4 linked regions of the Arabidopsis thaliana genome follow. The protein of the gene in region 1 interacts with the protein of each later gene in a pairwise test. Each region holds a gene or a part of one and is shown in the gene's direction. Other genes may lie near its edges.

What was found.
Region 2: the proteins of RCF3 (region 1) and AT2G43370 interact in a two-hybrid assay, tested with the Arabidopsis thaliana proteins (one large-scale study listed by BioGRID).
Region 3: the proteins of RCF3 (region 1) and MOS1 interact in a two-hybrid assay, tested with the Arabidopsis thaliana proteins (one large-scale study listed by BioGRID).
Region 4: the proteins of RCF3 (region 1) and AT2G39100 interact in a two-hybrid assay, tested with the Arabidopsis thaliana proteins (one large-scale study listed by BioGRID).

Annotation. Positions count from the first base shown.
Region 1 is NC_003076.8:21,513,266-21,519,071, forward strand, and holds RCF3 (RNA-binding KH domain-containing protein), read left to right. Parts: upstream 1-1,630; 5' UTR 1,631-2,089; coding exon 2,090-2,779; intron 2,780-3,020; coding exon 3,021-3,464; intron 3,465-3,552; coding exon 3,553-3,801; intron 3,802-3,887; coding exon 3,888-4,136; intron 4,137-4,337; coding exon 4,338-4,408; coding exon of another isoform or gene 4,409-4,412; exon of another isoform or gene 4,413-4,440; intron 4,441-4,500; coding exon 4,501-4,609; intron 4,610-4,705; coding exon 4,706-4,832; intron 4,833-4,912; coding exon 4,913-4,932; 3' UTR 4,933-5,282; downstream 5,283-5,806. Other genes in the region: AT5G53050 (alpha/beta-Hydrolases superfamily protein), read right to left, coding at 47-167; AT5G53070 (Ribosomal protein L9/RNase H1), read left to right, coding at 5,572-5,721. UniProt on the Arabidopsis thaliana protein: Acts as a negative regulator of osmotic stress-induced gene expression. Involved in the regulation of thermotolerance responses under heat stress. Functions as an upstream regulator of heat stress transcription factor (HSF) genes.
Region 2 is NC_003071.7:18,011,249-18,016,047, forward strand, and holds AT2G43370 (RNA-binding (RRM/RBD/RNP motifs) family protein), read left to right. Parts: upstream 1-2,019; 5' UTR 2,020-2,182; coding exon 2,183-2,330; intron 2,331-2,422; coding exon 2,423-2,520; intron 2,521-2,603; coding exon 2,604-2,655; intron 2,656-2,848; coding exon 2,849-2,919; intron 2,920-3,096; coding exon 3,097-3,187; intron 3,188-3,283; coding exon 3,284-3,359; intron 3,360-3,458; coding exon 3,459-3,537; intron 3,538-3,741; coding exon 3,742-4,128; 3' UTR 4,129-4,282; downstream 4,283-4,799. Other genes in the region: BIO2 (Radical SAM superfamily protein), read right to left, coding at 59-198, 369-574, 853-959, 1,176-1,355, 1,678-1,881.
Region 3 is NC_003075.7:12,731,076-12,738,702, forward strand, and holds the start of MOS1 (modifier of snc1), read left to right. Parts: upstream 1-1,602; 5' UTR 1,603-1,727; exon of another isoform or gene 1,728-1,791; intron 1,792-2,309; 5' UTR 2,310-2,349; coding exon 2,350-2,378; intron 2,379-2,876; coding exon 2,877-2,960; intron 2,961-3,043; coding exon 3,044-3,088; intron 3,089-3,181; coding exon 3,182-3,551; intron 3,552-4,089; coding exon 4,090-4,192; intron 4,193-4,595; coding exon 4,596-4,712; intron 4,713-4,936; coding exon 4,937-6,014; intron 6,015-6,095; coding exon 6,096-6,324; intron 6,325-6,433; coding exon 6,434-7,627. UniProt on the Arabidopsis thaliana protein: Involved in the regulation of the chromatin structure and DNA methylation at the SNC1 locus. Regulates the expression of SNC1 at chromatin level.
Region 4 is NC_003071.7:16,315,423-16,319,904, forward strand, and holds AT2G39100 (RING/U-box superfamily protein), read left to right. Parts: upstream 1-1,933; 5' UTR 1,934-2,039; coding exon 2,040-2,410; intron 2,411-2,490; coding exon 2,491-2,628; intron 2,629-2,735; coding exon 2,736-2,790; intron 2,791-2,929; coding exon 2,930-3,186; intron 3,187-3,377; coding exon 3,378-3,447; 3' UTR 3,448-3,465; intron 3,466-3,572; 3' UTR 3,573-3,965; downstream 3,966-4,482. Other genes in the region: APC7 (tetratricopeptide repeat (TPR)-containing protein), read right to left, coding at 92-176, 301-410, 852-914, 1,010-1,144, 1,422-1,472, 1,564-1,632, 1,743-1,811; AT2G39110 (Protein kinase superfamily protein), read left to right, coding at 4,348-4,366.

The DNA of each region.
Region 1 (5,806 bases):
TGCTAAGGAAACTAATCAAATGGGAAAGATGGAGATTACAACAGACCTATGATGAGAAGAGCTTTGATAGGACCATGACCGTACGTTCTGTAGAAGATTTTGATTGCGGCATTGTTAAGCGTCGTCTCTGGGCCGACATCTTCTTTCACGACCTCGCAAAACGGCATCGCTTTTTTTGTTCTCAAACTCTGATATCTGGGTGGGATCAGATTTTGAATAACCGGAGAGGAGAAGAGGAGAAGAAAGGAAAGGACTTTTCTATCGGAAGAGAGAGAGATTGGGTCTGTGGTGTGGTTCGGTTCGGTTTTTTGGGTGGAGGTTAGGACTGCCACGTAGGATTGGTCGGCTGGATTTTATTGGCGGGTAATATCTAACAAAGGTCAACGGTCAAATTTTTTACACGAGAAAACTATGTTGTATAGAAATATAGCACGTGAAAAACGCTAGAAGTAGAAGTAGTACTACGTCAATGGAATTCATATGCATCATATATAAGAGAAGCGATAATGGGTCTGAACACAAGTGGAGCATTAACCTAAAACAATAGCAACTTAGACCATTTGTTGAAGTAGTCACTACACTATTTTAATCTCCGGTTCAATTTGTTGAACTTTATAATGTTTTGCTATTTTGATCCGCGTTGCTTTATATTATATTGGTGTGGTTTCAGGAGAAGACAGATCGAGACACAAAACAAGGCAAGATCGTTACTGACATTTTATGCTGGACACTAGATAATTGTTCACCAGGACATGTGATAATAAAACCTCCATGACTTCGTGGCTGCTTTTTCATTATATATAGTTTAGGTCACCATCTTGTCGTAGCACAACCTGAAAACGCAATACCTTCTCCTGAAACGGAAAATATTTGTTGGGAAGACCTATCATTTGGAAAGTACTTATGCCCGTCAAGGCTCACAATTTAGACGAAACGATCCACCAACAACTTAAGCTTTGAGTCTTTGACCATAAGTGCGAGACGATTTTCTTGTATTGTTAATTTGTTATTGCTTGTTTTTGTGAACTGATCCTTAGTTTTTTTTTTCATCAAAAGTGATCATTTAGTTAAAGACTTAAAGTGCAATGAGAGTTTGGTTTCTTTATTTTTAAACTCTTGAAAAATTAATTTTGTCAATGAAGCAATACAAATTAAATTGCTGAAAAGGGATAGTAAATCGTTTTTTGTCCTTACGGATTGGTGATGAAAATGGTATTCAACGGATGCAATACTTAGATGCACCAAATGATTTTTACCATATGCTAAACTTTAACACTAAACCAATTATACTTTACCTGGTAAATATTAAAAGGATTTTTTGTTTTCCAAAAACAGTTTTAGTATATGTACTTAATTACATAATACCGCGGTTAATAAATAGTTAAAAATTAAATTAGAAAAAAACACATACGTGTCTACAGTTTTAGTCTCGTACATAACACGAAAAATCATCTAATTGGTTACGTATTAATCATATCATTTTTACCTATTAGAAAAAAATTATTTATACATTTTTAGTATCTACTAATACGTTACGTGAGCACAAAAATTCATCTTCATCAGTGCTAATAACTATGCGAAAATCTGATGACGATTCATTTGTCTAACAATTTATTTAGCTTAATACGAGTTTTTAAAGATGAAGCATACCCAAATTTCCCAAGAGACCAAAACGACAACGTTTGGGAGTAGCTAATATCGTAGTTAGCGCACGCCACTAACATCACCCATTGCACGGTCTCTCTCTACTCTCAAACTTCAAAAAGCTTTGGCTTTTTAGATTCACAGGAAAGAACCCTCAAAACACACAAAAAGCTGGTGATTTTTGCATTGCACCGATTCGCCTCCATCGATTTTGGACATTCTTGAATTCTCCCTCCAAGTATTCCTGTGAAATTGACCGGAAAGTTCCTTCCTTTTTCAATTTCCGGTAAAAAGGAAAGTAATTGGGTACTGTAGACTTCCTTCTAGGGCTTGTGAACTTTCTAATCCTTCAGAAAACCCTCGAATTCGAAAAATTTGCTGCGAGATTGATAAATGACTAGTTAAAGATTTGAACTTTGATTTCTGGGTTTGCGATTTTATTCAAATGGAGAGATCTAGATCCAAGAGAAACTACCACTATGACCAAGACTATGACGGAGATTCCATGCCTAGGTCTAAACCTCGCTACAACAATAATTACCACTTTGGTGGTGGCGGCGGAGGAAATAACAGATACCGTGGCGGCGGCGGTGGTGGAGGTGGAAATGGCCGGCCATCGAAGTCTCATCCTGAAACGATGGCAACAACGACTTATCGAATCCTCTGTCACGACGCTAAAGCAGGAGGTGTTATTGGTAAATCCGGGACAATTATCAAATCTATAAGGCAACACACCGGCGCGTGGATTAACGTGCACGAGCTAGTTCCTGGAGATGCAGAGCGTATCATTGAGATTTCTGATAATCGTAGGCGTGACCCTGATGGGAGAATGCCGTCTTTCTCTCCTGCTCAAGAGGCTTTGTTTAGTGTTCATGACAGGATTTTGGAGAGTGAAGCTCAGTTTGGTTATGGTGGACCTCCGCCGGAAGAGGAGGAGGATTACGGTGGAGTTAGACCTGGTGGAGGGAGAGTTGTGACTAGATTAGTGGTTTCTAGGATGCATGTTGGTTGTTTGTTGGGTAAAGGTGGGAAGATTATTGAGCAGATGAGGATTGAAACTAAGACTCATATTCGGATTCTTCCAAGAGAAAGTAACTTACCTCGTTGTGTTTCACTCTCTGAAGAGATTGTTCAGGTCTGAAAAATTGCTATTTTGAGAACATATTTGAAATGGTGAATCTTGTTGAGATTTTGATATGAAATGTAGTCAGTTTATTGAAATGCTAGATAATTTAAATGTGTGATTGTGAGGTTGAGGTTGTTGACAAGAGTTGAATCACTCTTATGTAGTTAGCTTGGTCATTATTTGTTATGTTTAAGCTTTCTTTGGTGTTTTCTACCTATGGGAAATGCATTTATAATGTTGGTTCTTTCAGATTGTAGGTGAACTAAATGCAGTGAAAAACGCTTTAGCCATTGTATCATCTCGTCTAAGGGAGAGTCAGCATCGTGATCGGAGTAATTTCCAAGGGCGTTCACATTCACCAGAACGGTCGTTTGCAGCTGCGGGGGATGATTACATGCCACAGCTAAGAAGACAATCATCCGATAGGTTTCCTCGTGGTAATTTTAGAAATAACAACTTCAGTTCTCGCCAGTCCAACTATGCAGAAGAAGCTCCAGCAGTTCCAGTTGGTGAGAATGTCTACTCCGAAGAGCTTGTGTTCCAGATTCTCTGCCCAGCTGACAAGATTGTTCGGGTTGTTGGGGAATCGCAAGGAATAATTGATTTGCTTCAGAACGAGATCGGCGTGGACGTTAGAGTATCTGACCCAGTTGCTGGATCTGATGAACAGATAATCACCATTTCTTCGGAAGAGGTACTCTAAATACCCTCAGATCTTCTTCAATATTATCTGTTACATTTACAATTGTGAACTTGAAGTTTTGTATTCTTACTTTGCTTAGGCACCTGATGATCCATTTTTCCCTGCTCAAGAAGCCTTGTTGCACATTCAAACTCAGATCATAGATCTTATTCCGGATAAAGATAATTTAATAACAACAAGATTACTTGTCCCATCTAGAGACTCTATATGTTTGGAAGGGAAAGCAGGATCAGTATCTGAGATATCACGATTAACTGGAACAAGCGTACAAATTCTAGCTAGGGAAGAAATTCCCCGATGTGCTTCTATCAATGATGTTGTTATACAGGTATGTTTGTCTATTTTTGAGGAGTCGAGCATTTTCTAAACAACTTCTGGTCTCAAAAGAGAATTCTTATGTGAATGTCGATGTAGATTACTGGCGAGATCAGAGCTGCTCGGGAAGCACTTGTTGAATTAACATTACTATTGAGGAGTCATATGTTCAAGGAGCTCTCTCAAAAGGAGACACCACCAGCTTCCACATCCACAACTGGCCCTCTCGAAGGTGTTGCAGGAGTAATGGAGGTAGCTTCATCAAATAACACAATTCAATCTCGTGAAGGTCCTACTAGTTCGAATCTGAACTTGCAGCAAGTTAGCACAATCTTGCCACAGTTTAAGGTTTTTGTTCTCATCAACAATCTTTTCAATATAAAGGCATCTGTAATCAGTTAGGGTCAGACTTATTTTTGCCATCGAAACAATGTAATATTACTATCAGGCTATGCATAATTACCTGAATACTTGGAAAGTAGTCTATGGTTCTTGTCCATTCGTGCAATGTCCCTATATTTACATATATTTTTCTCTTGGTTTTTATAGGAAGGTTTCGGATCAGTTGCAAAGGCGGGTGAAAGTGAACACCGGGAAGAGGTTCCTGTCACGACAAGCAGGTAGAGAAACTCCCAAATTTGATATATTTTCCCAAAACCGTACAAGTGCTTGTTTCACACCTTTCCTTCCTGCTTTTTGTTTTTTTCTCTAGAATGGCGGTACCACTTGTTACTAGAAGCACTCTTGAAGTTGTCTTACCAGAGGCGGTTGTTCCTAAGCTCGTTACGAAATCAAGAAACAAGCTTGCACAAATCAGTGAGGTAGAACTCTTTTTAACTGGAACTAGATTGGTGCAAATCATGACTCTAATCAAAATCTTTGACGCTTTGTCTTATCTCTTTCCCACTTGATCACAGTGGTCTGGAGCTAGTGTAACCATAGTTGAAGACAGACCAGAAGAAACACAGAATATCATTCGAATTTCGGGTACACCCGAGCAAGCAGAGAGAGCTCAGAGTTTGCTTCAAGGCTTCATTTTGAGCAGTAAGTTTCTCTCTTTCCAAACTTTTATATCCGTATTGTACTGATCTATAAGTCTGATTTCCGTTCCTTGTTTGGTGCAGTACAAGAGGATGGACCGTGAACTTGGACCAGATCATCAGTCAACACAGAGATGAAGATCAAGAAACTGAGAAATGTGGAGTTATGTATGACTTGTTGAATATTAGGATTTCAGTAAGCAGTAGTTTAGATGAACATTCCACATTTTGACCATCACTCTTTGGTTTCTATGTTGTCTATTAGTCTTCTTTGTTTACATTGTTCTGTAACTTATTTAAAAAAGTCATTAAAGTTTAATCCGAATGACTAATCATTAAAGACTCATCTTTAATTCACACCACCCCTATGTATATTGGAAGAACTTAAACGCTGCGTTTCACTTGAGTTAACATCATTGAGATTGGGGTGTTTTTGCCCTAGATAAAGTTTAGGGTGAAAACATAGATAAATCTTAAGTCGTATTTTACAAAAATAGCCACTGCTAAAACCTCACCTGCGGCTTCACCTTTCTTCGAGTTCGTGAAAAAGAGACGTCGCATCGCACCGCCGTCGCCATTTCCACCGTCGTAGCATTGCCGCTTCACTGGTGATTGATTCTTCCTTAACTTCTCTTTTTGTTTTCTCTGTTCTCTTATATCCGTCGTTTTCTAGGGTTTTCTCACTCCTTGTTGTGGAATCTCTCTTTGTAGACTGTCGCACTGAATATTGTTGAATCGAGAAAATGGCTTATGTTGGGCAAAGTAGAAACGTGATTCGGCATGTAGTCTCGAGAGGAACAGCTTATCACAAGTATGAAAATGCGATTCATCATCCTCTCCTTTTCGCTTGTCAAGGAGTTCGATACAGAAAATTAGAAGTTATTCTTACAACGGTGAGGTTTAATGATTCTGAAAGGCATGATTTTTATCGTTTGATTTTGAAATTTCCTTCACATTTCGTTGGGTTGAATTGAAATC
Region 2 (4,799 bases), on another chromosome or scaffold:
TTCCTACTAAGTAGCTGCTATGACTTGCAATTTGTGATTTTAGATTGTGGAGATATACCTTCTGGTCTTCAAGAGGAGTGCCTTTCACTGCAAGTAGAGCATTAATGGGAACACTCTCAGGGTGAGAAGGAAGTGTTGCCAGCGTGTGTAATAAACCTATTCTGTCTTCCTCTGCCTCACCAAGCCCTATGATTCCTCCTGTTTATCGGTAAAAGAAAACACTTGAGAACATGTCGTATCTATGGATTTATCAAAATCAACGAATATTACAAAACTGTGAGTCTAATGACCAAGCTGAAGACAGGTTTCAATCCTTTAGTTCTATAGAATTGAGGCATACAAGAATACTATTTTCATATCAAAGTTACCTGAACAAACGTTGATTCCAGCATCACGAACATGGCTAAGAGTTTCAAGGCGATCGTCATAACTTCTAGTAGTGATGACGTTTGGGTAGTACTCTCTTGAAGTATCAAGATTGTGGTTATAAGCAGTGAGGCCAGCCTTCTTTAGCTCTAGTGCTTGTTGTTTCTCAATCATGCCTAAGGTGCAGCAAACTTCCATCCCCATGCCTCTGTTTTAAAGTGAGAGCCCAGAAAGTTAGTAAACACATTCAGCCAGACACCATCATCAACATCATATTCATTCTGCTCACGGATACATCAAGTACACTTTGAAATTTTCACTTTAGTTTGACATGCAAAAATGTTCATTCTAGAACCATTAATGATCGGTTCGGTGGGTTATCTTTTAAGTTAGCTTAGATTCAGAAGCAGCTGAAAAAGGGATCATATAATGTAGTATAAACAAGGAAATTCAAAGTTCAACTTAAAAAGCATAATAGTAAGGTACCTTATTTCTTTGATGTATTCAAGAATCTGGCTGAAGTTGGTTTTCCGTCCAATTGTATCTCGCCAAGCAGCACCCATGCAAAAACGTGTGCTCCCAGCTTCTTTTGCCTAACAACACATCAAATTTGTTAATTCAAATCAGAAGAGCTCATTACATCGTCAAAATGCTTCATTAAACAATTAGAGTCTTTTGGATAGAGATAGAGCTCGGATTGATAAAAACAACGTTTTGGTACATAGTAATGCATGTCCCCTTCTTCTTGATACATTCTGCTAAGGATTCTACATTCAGCAAAAATAAACATTCACAAGAAAAGTGCAAACCTTCTTAGCAGCATCAATGACAGCGTCCTTAGACATGAGTCTTTGTGCCTTAACTCCAGTGCTATATCTCGAAGACTGAGGACAATATGAACAGTCTTCACTACAGCCACCAGTCTTTATGGAGAGGAGGGTACATTGTTGTACCTCCCTGAAGTTATGAACATGTCTATGAACCTGAGCCTGAAACCCAAAGAGTCCACACACCATCGTTATTCAAGTAAAAGACAACTGATAACGAGATCAGATGAGCAACCAAATGAATAATACCTAGCTCAATAGACATTACAAAGACACTAAAATCCGGGAAATTAAGACAAATGTTTCAAAGAGAACAAACATGTTCTGGGTTAAACTAAAAATCGATACTTTCCACCAATAATTTAACAGAAACCCAAAGCTTTCTACTTCAAATTTGTGATTTAGAGTAGCTAGAACAACAAAGAGAAGAGTAAGTGAGAGAGAGAGAGAGAGAGAGAGAGAGAGAAGAAGAAGGGTAAATTACTCCATGGAAGAGGAGGTCAAGAAGAGGAGAATCATAAACAGACTTGATTTCATCTCTACTCCAATCGTTTCTGGGACCTTCTCTGATAGTCCTCTCAGCTTCAGCTGAAGCAGCAGATAATGAAGAATAGCAAGAAGCAGATTGCAGACCACCCGAGACAGAGGGTCGCAACTGAGATCGAAATACAGATCGAACAAGCATCATTTGATCTGCTAATCAGAAAATGTGGAAAAAGAAGAAGAAGAAGAAATGAGATTTGGTGTTTGGTTTGTGCTAGAGCTTTTCACTCTTCAGTGAGTGATTCACCTAACCCAAAGCAGCCACCGTTGGAGTTTCCGCCTTCGTGTGGGACCTACGAGAATATCATATATCTTTAACTGGGCTGTAATAAGCCCAATTTATATGTTGGGCTTTTTAATAGTAATCAATTCAAACGACGACGTTATTCTTTATTTCCTTAAACAGCCGGAGCCGCCGTGAGAGAGAGAGAGTCGGGGGAGAAGAAATGAGCGGCGGAGGAAACAACGTCGTGAACAAAGTGTTCTACGCGACGTCGTATCATCCGATTCAAGCCGGAAGTATCGACGGAACTGATGTTGCTCCACATGATAACGGCGTCCGTCGAGCTCTTCTCTGTTATAACGCTGGCTTATGTATGTATACTCTCTCGTTCTCTCTGCTCCTCTTTTCACTTTTATCGTTTGGTTTCTGAATTCAAATACATTGATTTGGGTTGTTTTGAAAGATGATCCTTCTGGTGATTCGAAGGCTGTTGGAGATCCTTACTGTACTCTCTTCGTGGGTCGTCTCTCTCATCACACTACGGAGGATACACTTCGAGAGGTTAATGATTGAAATTTCACTTAGTTTTTGATTTTCGTGTAGACTATGTTTTGAATATGATTATAAAAGTTTCTTCTTCGTAGGTGATGAGTAAGTATGGCAGGATTAAGAACTTGCGCTTGGTAAGACACATTGGTAAGATTTTGCAATTGCTCTACTTATGACATCAACACTTTGCTTTATCTTTAGGAAATTTATCATCTTTCTATTTCTGATGGTTTGTTACTTTCTACCAAGATATTTGTCTAAGCAGAACTGTGATTACATATTTCCTCTAAGTTCCACATTGTGTAGTATTGAGTCTCCTCTTCTTGTTACCTTTTTTTAGTGACGGGAGCTTCACGAGGATATGGTTTTGTGGAGTATGAGACTGAAAAGGAGATGCTTCGTGCTTATGAGGTGCTGTGATACTAAATTGCATTTTCTTTTTACCTCTTGTTTTTGTTGTTGAAAGCTGTCTGAACCACTTACTAAGGCACCGCAATGTGATTGTTTCATTAACATCTCCGTGTAATTACTGGAAACTAGTGGAGTTTGTTTATCAGAGTGAGAATTTTTTTGGTGTTTCTTTAGCAGGATGCTCATCATTCACTAATAGATGGGCGAGAGATTATTGTTGATTATAATAGACAGCAATTGATGCCTGGATGGATACCAAGAAGACTAGGTTTGCCATTCTTTACCTTTATTTTTGTCTGTAATGAAATGTCATAGGCGTTATATTTTCATCCCTTACAGATGAAATCTATTTCTCTCTTAACAGGAGGTGGCCTTGGTGGTAGGAAAGAATCCGGACAACTTCGCTTTGGAGGACGAGATAGACCATTCCGTGCTCCCTTGTATGGTTTTGCTTTACTCTTCCTTTAGCATGTCCAGAGATAACACCAGCTAAACATAGTGGTCATGAAATGGGCATTCTTTCTATTTGTTAATATCAGACGACCAATCCCTCATGAAGATTTGAAAAAGCTCGGTATTCAGCTTCCGCCTGAGGGAAGATATATGTCGCGCACACAGGTCTACCATGTCTTGAACTTCACCACCACTCTATAGTCATTTGAACTTTACCCCTGTTCTGTCTCTGGTGCTATCTTATTGGGTCATTTGTTAATGTTCTTCTGCTAGAAATAATATATTAAATGGGTTGTTCAATGTGTCTAGTGGAAAGCTGATAGTTTGTAAACTAAAATCTTGGTACCACAACTTACTTGTTGGATGCAGATCCCATCACCTCCAAGGAGAAAAGGAAGTGTGTCGGATAGAGAGGAAGAATATTATCGGGAAAAGAGTTCTGTAGAACGGGAAGAAGAGTTTAAAGAGCGAAGCAGCCTTAGGTCATATCACAGTCACAGGTCGAGCGCACACACACACAGTTCTCATAGAAGACGCAGCAAAGACAGAGAGGAGTGTTCCAGGGAAGAGTCCCGTTCTGATAGAAAAGAGAGAGCACGAGGTATGGAAGATCGATATGGTGACAACAAGGGTGAAGTTTCTGGCAGCAAAAGATCAAAACGTTCTGAAGAAGACCGATCTCGCAAACGTCATAAACACTTGCCTTCCCATCATCATAGGAGGTCCTATAGTCAAGATCATCATTCTTCCGACTAAGTAATCATATTGTAAAAAAAATAACAATAATATTTGGTGTTACAGATTTTTTTTTAATAATATTTGGTGTTAGAGACTTTTAAGAGTGCCTTTTGAACCAAAGAAAAAAAAAGTGTAGTGTATGTTAATCAAATATAGCAAAACAGAAATTGTCTTTTTTTTTTAGTTACAAACAAGATATTTGTTTTGCAATTAACATGAGTGAATTGTCTTTATATCTTAAATTATGGCCGTATAGATTTGATTGTTAAGATATAAAAAAATTTGGGATGATGCAATTTGTAATTTATCTAAATGGATAAAATAGTTCATCAAATATTATTATTTTTATGAACTATGACATTACAGTTGGATTTGTTTCTGTAGTTTATCTTATATTTCTTTTTTTAGAACTAATGAACTATTATTATCTTATATTTTGTTTTGTATTGAATTTGTTCGAATATAAAAACTCACATTTGATGTTGAAATAGAGATTTAGTTTGTCTGTGTAGATACTAGATAGTTGTTGTATCAACAGACAGAATTGAAACTTGGTTTCAGATTCTTGTTTTGTTTATTCAAACTCACTTTGATTTGATTGTATTTGTACCTCTCATGAATTGTCTATTAGGAGGATAGAGAGTCGCCTCAGATTGACTAGAGACAATGTCATTCTCGTACTCGTTGCA
Region 3 (7,627 bases), on another chromosome or scaffold:
TCAAAAGGTCACAGAACAAATTGGCCACAGTGAAAGGATCGCTAGAAGGCTTTTTATATGTAAACTGAAAAAGAAGAATGTGTAATTAGGTCGAAGCTCTTTGTTTGTTTCTCTCCACGATAAAAGATATTTCCCATTGGGAAAAAGTTATTGTATTTTGGCTTTGGCGTGAAGAGTTTCAGCTTTTCGGTTTGTCAATGGCAGACCTTGGAAACGACAGTACATGAACCGAGTGAGACACTGAATTTATTCAGGATCTCTGTTTACTAGTACAAGACTGGTGAATGCTTTATGTGTAACAATATTTTCTAGATTTACGTCACTTCTCTGTTTTCACATCTAATTAGATTAGCTTAAGGCTCATTATATTGACTATGTAATATTTTGCCCTATATATGTTTAGTGTAATTTACACATTTGGACAAAACGATTTAGGGTGAAATTGTTGTAATAACATATTTTGGGGTGTTGATTGTGAAAGTAACAAAGAGAAGAAAATAATCTCTGCAAGGGTAACATTAAAATAGATAAATGATCCATGGACCAAAATCTACATATTGCCACGGCCCAAATTGTTCAAGAGTTTAGCAAAGATCATATGGGCTGGATCCAAGAGGTTTATTATATTTGGTCATTGTTCAAGTATATTTGTTTTTTTGTTTTCTTTTCATACATTACTGTTTATTGAATATGATTCTATCAAAGGTGAAGTTGTATAAAATGGGGTGGGATCATCATTTGTAAGCATTCAAGTGTCTCGTTCTCTAACTTTCTTAAGTTTGTTGGCTTTCTCTCTAACTCTTAAGTATCAATTTGGAGAAAAGCACGAAAATTTAAAATATGCTAAGACTACTCGTAATAAATTAATAAAAATCAAACTATGCATTATCTAAAATCTTCTGTATATAAAATTTACACAAAATTTTAAAATTTGAAAAAAAATAAGCTAGCGTTGAGCTCAAATCCGCTCAAGATCATCCTCTAGCACCATGTACACAGTGCATGTACGAACACTTCCAACCCTCGATTACAAAACACCGGATTAATATATGATCTTTCCTTAGAATGAGTGTACTCCACAAAGAAACATGAGAGGTTTGGAAGATAAACATAAGCATTACCCAAAAAACCTTATTCATTTGATCATGCCTGCCATCGTCTTACTTCCCTAAACATGTCCTTAAAATGAAGAAGTGAACCTACCACATAATTCAATTTCTCCCCCATTTTTAACATTCGTAAAATGTAAAAGAAAGGAAACTATTTTGTTAAGTATTGTTTTTATGGCTATCCTTTTTTTTTTTTTTTTTGTCAAACTATGGCTATCTTTTAAAATGGGTAGGTAAATATATAAATGATGTTAATGAATAATACTACTCTTTTAATTTATATATATATTTTTGTTTTTTGGAGATAGGTGATCCTTTATTCGCTCTATTTTATTTTAATCGGCATTCATTTTACAATTCACAGGAAAAAAAAAAAGAGAGAGAGGAAAAGCTGAGTAAAACCGTGCAGCCCTGAACTTCGACGCTTTCTCCTCTTTCAACCAATCCGTTGAACGTCGTCGTAATAAGCTTCATCTTCATCAATCATCATCACTTTCTTCTTTCTCCCACAGATCCTTCCTTTTCTCCTTCATCTTCCCCTTCTTCCTTTTCCCTCATCGCCCAGGAACACATCCGATCTGCACCCTCTTCGTTCGATTCTCACAATTAATATCTAGGGTTTGCGAGGACCCCCCCTCTCTATTCAAAAAAAGAGAGCAGATTTTCTCTATAATCCCCTTTGGTCAGTTTCTTCTCTACCTTTTTTTCCCCTTTGTATTCCAGAGGAATCGAGTGATGAGTTTATAGAATTATCGCATTTTGAAGTAATTTGGGTCCTTTTGTAGAGCTTGATTGACATTTCTGGAGACATTTGTATGTTTCAGAGCTCTTTTTTTGTTGCTGTTGTTGTTCTAGCAAGTTGATTGCGAAATTGTCAACATTCTGGGAATACGTCAATTGTTTTTTTAGTATTGCGGTCATTTAGTCTGGAACCTCTTTTGATTCCGCAGTTTGACGATCTTTCATACTTTTAGGTTTCTGTACCAATTTGATTGTCGAACATTGTCTTTCTGTTATGATGGTGAATTTTAGAAAGTATTTCAATTCATGTTGGAGAATTTGTATAGGCAGTCTGATTCTGCAACACATTTCACGGTAGCAGTGTTATAGCAATAGTTCTTCAGTGTCGGTCTTGTTTGATTCTTTGGGATTTGAGCTTCAAATTTCATTTGTGAATCTGATTCTGTATGTGACTTACAGGTTTCAAGTGGTGTAATTGGATCGTGTAGCTGCTTTTATAATGACCTCTAGCACGACAGGAGATCGAAGGTTTCTCTTCTTTCAACTTTATCTTTGTCATGAACTTTTCTATGTTTTTATACTGGATTATGGGTTATATATTGGCCTCTTTGCACGTTACTTGCATGATTTTTCTTTTGATTTGGCCTTTTCTTCATATGAATTACTTGTTTTCGTTGTGCTGTATATTCCAACTGTTGTTAAAATATAGAATCACTATATGTGCCTGGGGTATAGAAGGAAACTCAGGGTGTGGTTTTTCTTTCTTTGAAAGAGCTTGCTTGCATGATAGACATTCACCATGTATTTGTAATAATTTTATTCAACATTATTATTGATTTGCAACATGCCAACATCACCATTTAGATTAAAAGAAGGGAAAGTTGTAAAATGTGTGTAGAAAACATATGTAAAGAGCTGATCGTTTTTTTAATAAATTGTATAATCATTTATACTTTGCTCATTTACACTTAAAGAGCTTTGTATCCTCTGTGGTGATGATGAGAAATTACATGTGCTGGATATTAGCAGATGGGGTACTACAAGAAGAAGTGGCATGACTATATTGGGAAAGGTTGCTGTTCCAAAACCGATTAACTTACCAAGCCAAAGGTATTTGATGAGCGCATGATCACATTTAGACTTCATATATATGTATAATCTCGTTCCCTGAACACTTCTCTTCTGAATTTAAGGTTAGAGAACCAAGGCCTTGACCCAAATGTAGAAATTGTTCCAAAGTAAGTTTGTACCTGTTTGAGATGCTATTTCCCTCATTCTTTTTCGTCCTCAAATTTTAGATGGTTTAATTTTCTTCTGGACATCTATTTTAGGGGAACACTTAGTTGGGGCAGTAAATCATCACTGAATGCTTGGGGGACATCATCCTTGTCACCACGAACTGAAAGTGGCCCTGGTTCACCAAGCCACCTCAGTAATCGACCTTCTTCTGGTGGAAGTGTCACTCGACCTTCAACTGCCGATAGTAACAAAGCACATGACTCTTCTTCTTCTGTTGCATGGGATTCGAACTCGCGGCCTTCATCAGCATCTGGGGTGTTTCCATCTAATCAGCCATCAGTTGCACTACAGCGTCCACATAGTGCAGACACAAGACCAGGAAGTTCCCAGTTATCCCGATTTGCTGAACCCGTGTCAGAGACTTCTGCAACATGGGGTCAACATGTGGCGCCAGAGAAGTTGGTATGGTTCTTCCCTTTAAAGTCGTCTCTAATATTTATCGGGACTCTGCTAAGCATCTTTTTTTATCCTTACATCTGTGAAGCTCCATGTCACTCTTCTCTTACTTCACTTGTGCTTAGTTACAACAAACACACAGCAAGTTCTTATGTTTTTGGGACTGTGAATGGTAATTACTTTTTGGGATTAATGATTGATATTCAATCTAGATAGAACTTTAATAGCTGGATACATCATTCGTGTTTGCTATGGGAACAAGATTAGGATGCTAAATTTGTCAAATTATAGGGCACTTATTTCTCTTAGAGAAATGCTTTGTAGTGCGTAAGATAATCTGACAACTGAGTGGCACATGGTCTCCAATAAGTCTCGAGTTCTGGTTGGGCAAATAGAATTTGATGGAAGGGTTTTTGTATTATTATTTGGCAAACTTCAATCTTCAAGGTTTTTTTTGAAGAATAGTTGTGTACAATTTACCCACCTTTGCATTATCTACCATGAAATTTATCTTCATTCTTAGACTTCTCATTGTTTTCTACAGGGAGTTGCTCCATCAAAGAATGATGGGTTTTCTTTGACTTCTGGAGATTTTCCTTCCCTTGGTGCTGAAAAGGACACTTCTGAAAAGAGTACAAGGCCACAAGGTACCATCTATTAACAGTAAAAATTATTGTGTCATCCATGCATTACAGTACTTTGATTTAAGAATAGTTCTCTTTGCTCTTTTCAAAAAGTACGATCAGCATGTAAACTAGGAAAAAAAAATTGTTTCAACTTGTACACAATTCAATCTTATACTCGTCGTCCTTGCCTTCAAGGGAGTGACGTTAGCACAGACGGGTTCATTTTGAAAGTTGGTACTTCTAAATGTAATTCTGTTGAGAAGTTTATCTACACGGATATTCAGCAAAGTTAAAACTTTCGGGAATGACCTTTTTTTTTGGCTTGCTGTTGGTTGACCACTTTTTCGATCTTAGATGACCTCCTAATATGTGCCACTGAGAATTTTAGGATTACCTAGATAGAATGTGATGTGCTTATATGAAGGAGATACGTTAGACATGGCTCTTAGAAACTACAAATTTGCAGATGCTGGACCTCACGCTCGTCCTCCATCTTCGTCTGGAAGATCTGTGGAAGGGCAAGGTGTAGATTGCACAGAAGGTTCTTACTTTCAAACCTATTTTTCTATGTTTTGGGGATATACAACAGATGTTGGCATCTCATTTCGAGAGTTACTTATGTTTATAATCATCTCTTATGAGAGGGCCATGTTACCCTCACAGGTGTTCATGTGAATTCTTCTTACTGCTTTATTCCCCGTACATCTTTTTAGTGGATGTTCTCGCGGACACTATATTTGACCATATCTTGTCTTTTATTTGCAGAAGCTAATGACCGGATTGGGGATGCCAATTCCTGGAGAAGAGAGAATCAACCATACAGTGAAGATGCACCTAGACATTGTAGAGAGGAAGGGCAATTGGACTCACGTGGTTCACAATCTTATCCTAATGCTAATTTTCCTCCTCGGTATGATGCTTGGCGTGGTCCTCCAGTAAATAATCATCAAGGAGGTGGCTGGTACGGAGGGAACCACCCGTATGGTGCCCCAATGGGTCCTGGGGGTTTTCACATGGATCCTTTTCCATTTTATCCTACGCAAGTTCCACCTGCTCCTGGACATGGGGCTGGTCCTAGGGGTAATCACGCTAATAATGAAAGAATGTTCAGACCTCCAATGCTTGACTCTTATGTCCACCCAAGGATGCAGACTAGGCCTGGGTTTTATGTTGGTCCAGCGCCACACGAAGGCTACTATGGTCCTCCCATGGGGTATGGCAGTCCCAGCAACAGAGACCTACCTTTTGCAGGTAGGCCTACTGGTCCGCATGCTTATAACAATCATTCTGGTCAAGGTGGATATGATACGCCTGGAAGTTCAGTGTCTTTGGAACGGAACGAGTCATCACATTCTCAAGAAACACAAAGGCCATACAAGGTTCTCCTAAAGCACCAAGATGGGAGGTTTGGGGAAGATAATGCAAAGCGGGAAGAATTTCTTGGAAATAGGCTCCCGAATGCAGAGAAGATAGCTCAACAGATGCAAACTTCAAGAAACGAGAGGAGAGAAATCAGAAATGACGCAAGTGGTGAAGTACAACCAGTCAAAGCAGAACTTGCTGCCCCTGGAGATCCTAGTTTGATTCAGAAAATCGAGGGCTTAAATGCAAAAACTAGAACTAATGATGGTTGGCAAAATTCGTCATCTGTTGTTAATAGAGATGAGCAGGAAAGCCAACCACGTACACTCAATTCTGGGAACTCTGCAAATAAAGTTTCAGCCAGAAATCATCGAACTGGTCATGCAAGTGACAGTAAGAACTCATCACACTATAATCAAGGTGATTCTGCCACAAACAAGAATGCTGAACCCGCAGCTATGGGTGGAACTAGCATATTCAGGTCAGTTATCATTTTTCAATTGTGTTTCGGCCAGTTATGCCATCCTTTATGTCGGGAAAGTTTTGATGTTAGTACCTACAGGAGACCTACTCAACAGACTCAAGGCAGAGCAGATCCGCAGACCAAACGAATAGTGAACAGTGAAGGCAATGATGCTTGGCAGAAGACAACTGTTATGTCAGGCTCCTCCCATACAACTTTAGCTACAAACACAGAAAGCTTTCGCGAGGTTAATGTCGATGACTCTTTGGATACCGAGTCCATCAGGAGGCCTGGGTCGGGAATATCAGCAGACCCAAAGGATAACCAGGTATAAACTAGTTCATATGATTCTGGTTGTTATTTATACTTTTATGTATCTCTTGTTTGTAGTCATCCTTTTTTGGTTTGACTGAGTGTTTGCCATGTTCCCTTAAAAGCGTTCTACGATGAGAGAGTTAGCCAGGCAGCGTGCTCAACAGAGGCAGAAAGAGGAGGAAGAAAGAGCGAGAGATCAGCGGGCTAAGGCTCTTGCAAAACTAGAAGAGTTAAATAGACGTTCCCAAATATATGAGGAGGGTTCAGTTAAGAACATGGAAGCTGCATCTAATGCTTCTCCGGCTGACATGCCAACAGATCCTGGATCTCATTCATCTAATGCTACAAATTCCGTAGAACCTACTGGAGGATCAGGAAAAAACACAACGCAAAACACGAGGACTTCAACAGAATATGCAAATAATGTGGGCCCTTCCCAACAGGATAATCTTCCACGTGATGGCGGTGCCTCAAAACAGAAGCGCTTGGGTTATAAGCAGAAGCAAAATATTATATTTGAGAAAAAACCGACAGGGAGCTCTGTTGCTACTGCAGAGGTGTTTGATGTTGTCCCGTCTCCTGAGGTTGTTAATGAAGGTGTCTCAAGCAATAACTCAGACATGCCAGCGACGTCAACCGTTTCAGCTGAGTCAACTTTCCCGAAAAGAAAAAATAACAGGAATGGTAAGAAAAAACACAAGGCTGAGGAGACAGCAACTATGAATACTACAAGAGTTGCCGTTGGAAAAGAAACAAAATCGGGAGATGAGTCAATTGAGACTGCTAGGGCAAGGGCAGCTGAAATTGAGTTGGGGTCTGTTTCAGTTCCAAGCCTGGATATCAAAGTGTCTGGTGATTCGTCTGAACAAATCAGTTCCTTCACTAATGAAGAGTCTCAAAACAGAGCTAAAAACAACTGGAAATCTCAACATGTGCGTAGGACTCAAAGAAACTCACTGGTAAATAAGCCTGCAGAGAAATTTTCTGGCAACAATGCTGTTATTTGGGCTCCAGTACATCCACAGCAAAAAGCTGATGTTTCCACTGGTGGAGGGAGTCAGACTACTGTCCCTGAGTTTGGCACCTCTTCAAAAAGTCAGCATCAAGGACAGACTAGTTCTAAAAGCAAAAGAGTGGAAATTGAAAGATATGTACCGAAGCCTATAGTAAAGGAAATGGCTGAGCAAATCGTCAGTAAAAATCTAGTAACCTCTGCTCCAGATATGTCGGAGAATGTAAACCAGAAAGAAAATCGTGGAGGTGAGGGTACAGGAATTCTCCAACCTTCTGGTTCAACTGCAGGGAAATCTGGGTCT
Region 4 (4,482 bases), on another chromosome or scaffold:
TTCACACAGAAAAGGTAATTGCAAAATAGAGAGAAAGAGGTGCAAAACACATTTGAAGAAGTGGTGAAAGAAATCTCGTAGAAAGGGACACCTGAGTAAACGATGATATGATATCCTTTGCACTAACTCCCAGTTCAGCTAAACCTATGACGGCTTCAAGTACATAAGGACACTGCCTGCAGAGATTAAAGATTATATATATGTTTACTATGTGTTGAATTGGTATTTAACGTAAAAAGTGAGATATTATAACAGTGTTTCTATGCTAGGAAATGTTGGGAAAGAAAACGAAAAACAGACCTTAAACACTCTTTATAAAAAGCAATAGCACCACGGTTGTATCCAGAATTTCGATGAAGCTTTGCCATCAGTATATTCATCTCTAAGCTCCTGGTCTTGACAGATTCCATCTGGCAAAGAAATAACAAGTGCAAAAATAGATTATAGCTAAGCAGACCATGGCTTTATCATCCCTAATACCTACATGCAGTGTTGGAAGGAATCCAATTAGTTTACTTGTTTTGTAATATGGATTTGCATTGATGGGAGCAGGTCAACGCAACAAAATTCAACTCACATTCAGGAATACTATAACAATGCATTAGTTACGGCCCAAGAATGTTTCACTGAAATTACAGTTACTTAACTCTGGTTATAAAATACAATAGCAAGACATAAAAGTCATCCTATACAAAACCAATCTATAATCTTAGAAATAGAGAAATCCCTAGACAGCTCTTTTACCGTCTCATACACACATATTTTATTTTCTATATACCAAAGTTTCTAGACCAACAAATCCAGAAGACTAAATAAATCTTGAAAACCAGACAAACAGATGACACTCATACCTCAGCAATCGCAGCTTTTGTTTCATTAAGAGCAAAGTGAGATGAAGCAATCTTGAATCTCACCTAAAAGGAAAGTTAGAAAAAGAAGATGCACATGAACTCCAATGAAATTAAACCAAACCACATCACTTTCTGGAAACTGCAACACAGTTATTTACCTCGTTCTCATTAATAGCAGAAATGCTGGAGGCATTCACAGATGATCTGGTAGATAAAGATAATGAACTCCTCGAAATACCGGAGCTTTGCTTCGGAATCCTTGTGTAATGATGCAACGCTTGCTTGTACGTATGCTGACAAAAAGAAGGAATACATATTCAGAATTTCGAGATGACTTCAAAGTAATCCACAGGAAAAGAATAAGCAATACAAATATAAAACTTATCTCTGCTCACTCCATAAATTCATATAATCAGAATCTTTACAATTTTATCATAATCCAGTCAAATTCAAGTTCCGAGAATGATTTATAGAGTTCAAATTTGAGGCAGAACTAAACTATCGAGAACTGAGTAACATTTCCTTCACAGCAAAAGAGAAACATAAAGAATGAAACTTTTGAGAACTTACAATAGCTCTCCGGTGTTCTCTCTGATGAAATAAAGCATCACCCAGTAGAATCTGATTAAAAAACACAGAAAGAATCTAACTTCAATCTAACGGACTCAGCAGCTACTAAAATAGAAAATATCGACGGAGAAAGAAGCTTAACCAAATTCTCCGCCTTGAGCTGAGGACTAGTTTCGGCACTAACAGTAGGAGAAGAAACGAGAAAGCAGCCCTGGATTTAGTTGCATATATAGAGAGAATTTCATTAGCTCTTGATGAAAACTAGGGATTTAGAAAAAAAGAGATAGACAATCAAAATGAGCTAAAAGCTAGAGAAGTTACGAGCATTTCAGCAGAATCGTAAAGCCCATGCTCTATTAAAGTCGCGATCTGCTCCTTTGGAACCTCCATTTCAGAGACAAGAGAGTTCGTCGTTAGTGGCAATGGTGAAGTTTTTTCTTCGGAGCAGCGATGAAGTAAAAGATCCTTCACGCTCGCTCTTCATTTTGAAACAAGAAATCTCGAACCGAGTCAACCCAAACCGACATTAACCGGTTATCTATCTGAAATCCATCTCGGTTCATTAAAACCCGACTTTTCCAAGAGCCCGACTTCACCGAACAATCTCTATCTCCGGTCATGCCTCCATTACCGTCCTCCACGGCGCCTTCGTCTTCGAGACATCTTCGATCGCCGGAAAGTATCGCGAAATTTGCAGGGAGAGCAATATTTCCTGCTTTACAGGGGAAATCGTGTCCGATATGCCTCGAAAATCTAACCGAGCGAAGATCCGCCGCCGTGATCACGGTGTGCAAGCACGGATACTGCCTTGCTTGTATTCGGAAGTGGAGCAGCTTCAAGAGGAATTGTCCTCTTTGTAACACTCGTTTTGATTCCTGGTTTATCGTTAGTGATTTTGCTTCTAGAAAATACCATAAGGAGCAATTACCAATTCTTCGTGATCGTGAGACTTTAACTTATCATCGGAATAATCCTTCCGATCGCCGGAGGTTATCTCTCTCTCTAAGATCCTCTCTATGAAGTTAAAAATCACTTCTTTATTATATTCACTTGGTTATTATTTCATTAGGATAATTCAAAGGTCGAGGGATGTTTTGGAAAACTCTAGCTCAAGATCAAGGCCATTGCCATGGCGGAGATCATTTGGACGACCAGGTTCAGTTCCTGATTCTGTTATCTTCCAGCGAAAGCTTCAGTGGCGAGCTAGGTTGGTTTACTATTGATTCTAACTCTATAGCTTCATTTGCAATCTCCTTTTTCGAAGTGTTAGATTAGTTCGCCGTTGTTTCTAACTAGTGTTGGCTCTAAATACAGCATATACACTAAGCAATTACGAGCTGTTCGATTACATTCAAGGCGCTTGGAACTAGTAAGTTTCATTATACAATGTGTTCTTCTCTGTTTGATGTTTGTAGTATTGGGGTTTACACTCTTACATTATTGGATATATGTTCACATTGGAAGCCTTATATATACCTGCTTCGTTGTGTCATCTTGGATTATTGTAGAGTTTGGCGGTGAATGATTACACCAAAGCAAAGATAACTGAAAGAATTGAGCCATGGATTAGAAGAGAGCTTCAGGCAGTCCTTGGAGATCCTGATCCCTCAGTTATTGTTCATTTTGCGTCAGCTCTTTTCATCAAAAGGCTTGAGAGAGAGAATAATCGACAAACCGGGCAGACCGGGATGTTGGTGGAAGATGAAGTCTCCTCTCTTCGAAAATTCTTGTCTGATAAGGTGGATATATTTTGGCATGAACTAAGGTAAGATTTTTATACGCTAGGGTTTTTTCAGAGTTTCAAGTAGTTACAGGTTTAGTATAGTAGTACAGAAAACACATAGGCAACCTAAACCTAGTGACTTGTAAGTCTGAACAGATGATAGAGCTGATATCTGTTTGGTTTAGGTTTTTTGGTCATATACTATTTCTGATGAGAAAGAAAACATTTTTCAGATGTTTTGCGGAGAGTATACTCACGATGGAGACTTATGATGCAGTGGTTGAATACAATGAGGTGGAGTAATAGCAGTAAAAAAAACAGGTAAAGAAATTAGGATATGTATTATGTGGGTTTGGTTTCACTAAGTAGGAACCTGTTTTGCTTCGATGGTTTTTTTTCTGAAGTCATTATGTTGTATTCGCTTGCAGATAACCGAGCACTATGCTCTCGTCAAATGAAGTAAATAGACAGACTTACAACGCGACTGTTGGTGTCTTGGAAGTTCAATAGTGGAAAGACTGGACCAAGTAAGAGAAACCAAGAGTTAAAGAGTAGGTAGGAGGAAGATGTTGAGATGATGCAAGTTTAGGTGTGGAGTTAGTTTTGAGATAGCTATAGGTGGATTCTCAAATAGCTGACACTTAGTCTCTCTACTTCCATAATGTACGTCTCTTCTATACCAAAAATTCTCACCCCCAAAGTTTCTTTCCAACGCTTTTCCTCACCTCATCATTTTTTCTTACGTTTCGAGTACCACCTATTTCAACAACATTAAATATTTTCTATAATTTGACTATCAATTTTTAATAAATTAAAACTATACATAGTTTTAGATAAATTACACGAAGCTTCCATAGAAGAGGAAAGTTCATTTGAATTTCTCTTCTAAACCGTACCTTAAAGATTAAATGGTGAATATACACGGGGAAATTTTTTTAATAAACAACGCGTTCTCTATTAAGGTATTGATTGATATAAGTAAGCAAGCGGGTGTAACACAAAATAAAATATTATAAAAGGCTTCTTCTATAGGTTGGTAAGCGGCAATCCAGCTGCCATTGCCTATTTGACTTCCCCCATTCGATCATGGTGAGCTCGTCTTCTCTCTTCTCCTCTTATCTCTTTCTCTACCATTTTCTTTTGCTTTAAAGCTCTCTCAATCATGATCATGAAGACCCCCATCACAGCATTCCATTCATCCTCATGAATAATTCTACATCAGGTTTCTTCTCTTTCCCTTTCTGATTCTCAACACTCTTACCACATTTCTACTTTTGTGTTGTATATCGATTTTTGTTCTACATTCTTCCAAATGTCAGGGAATCTAGTTGAAATGTG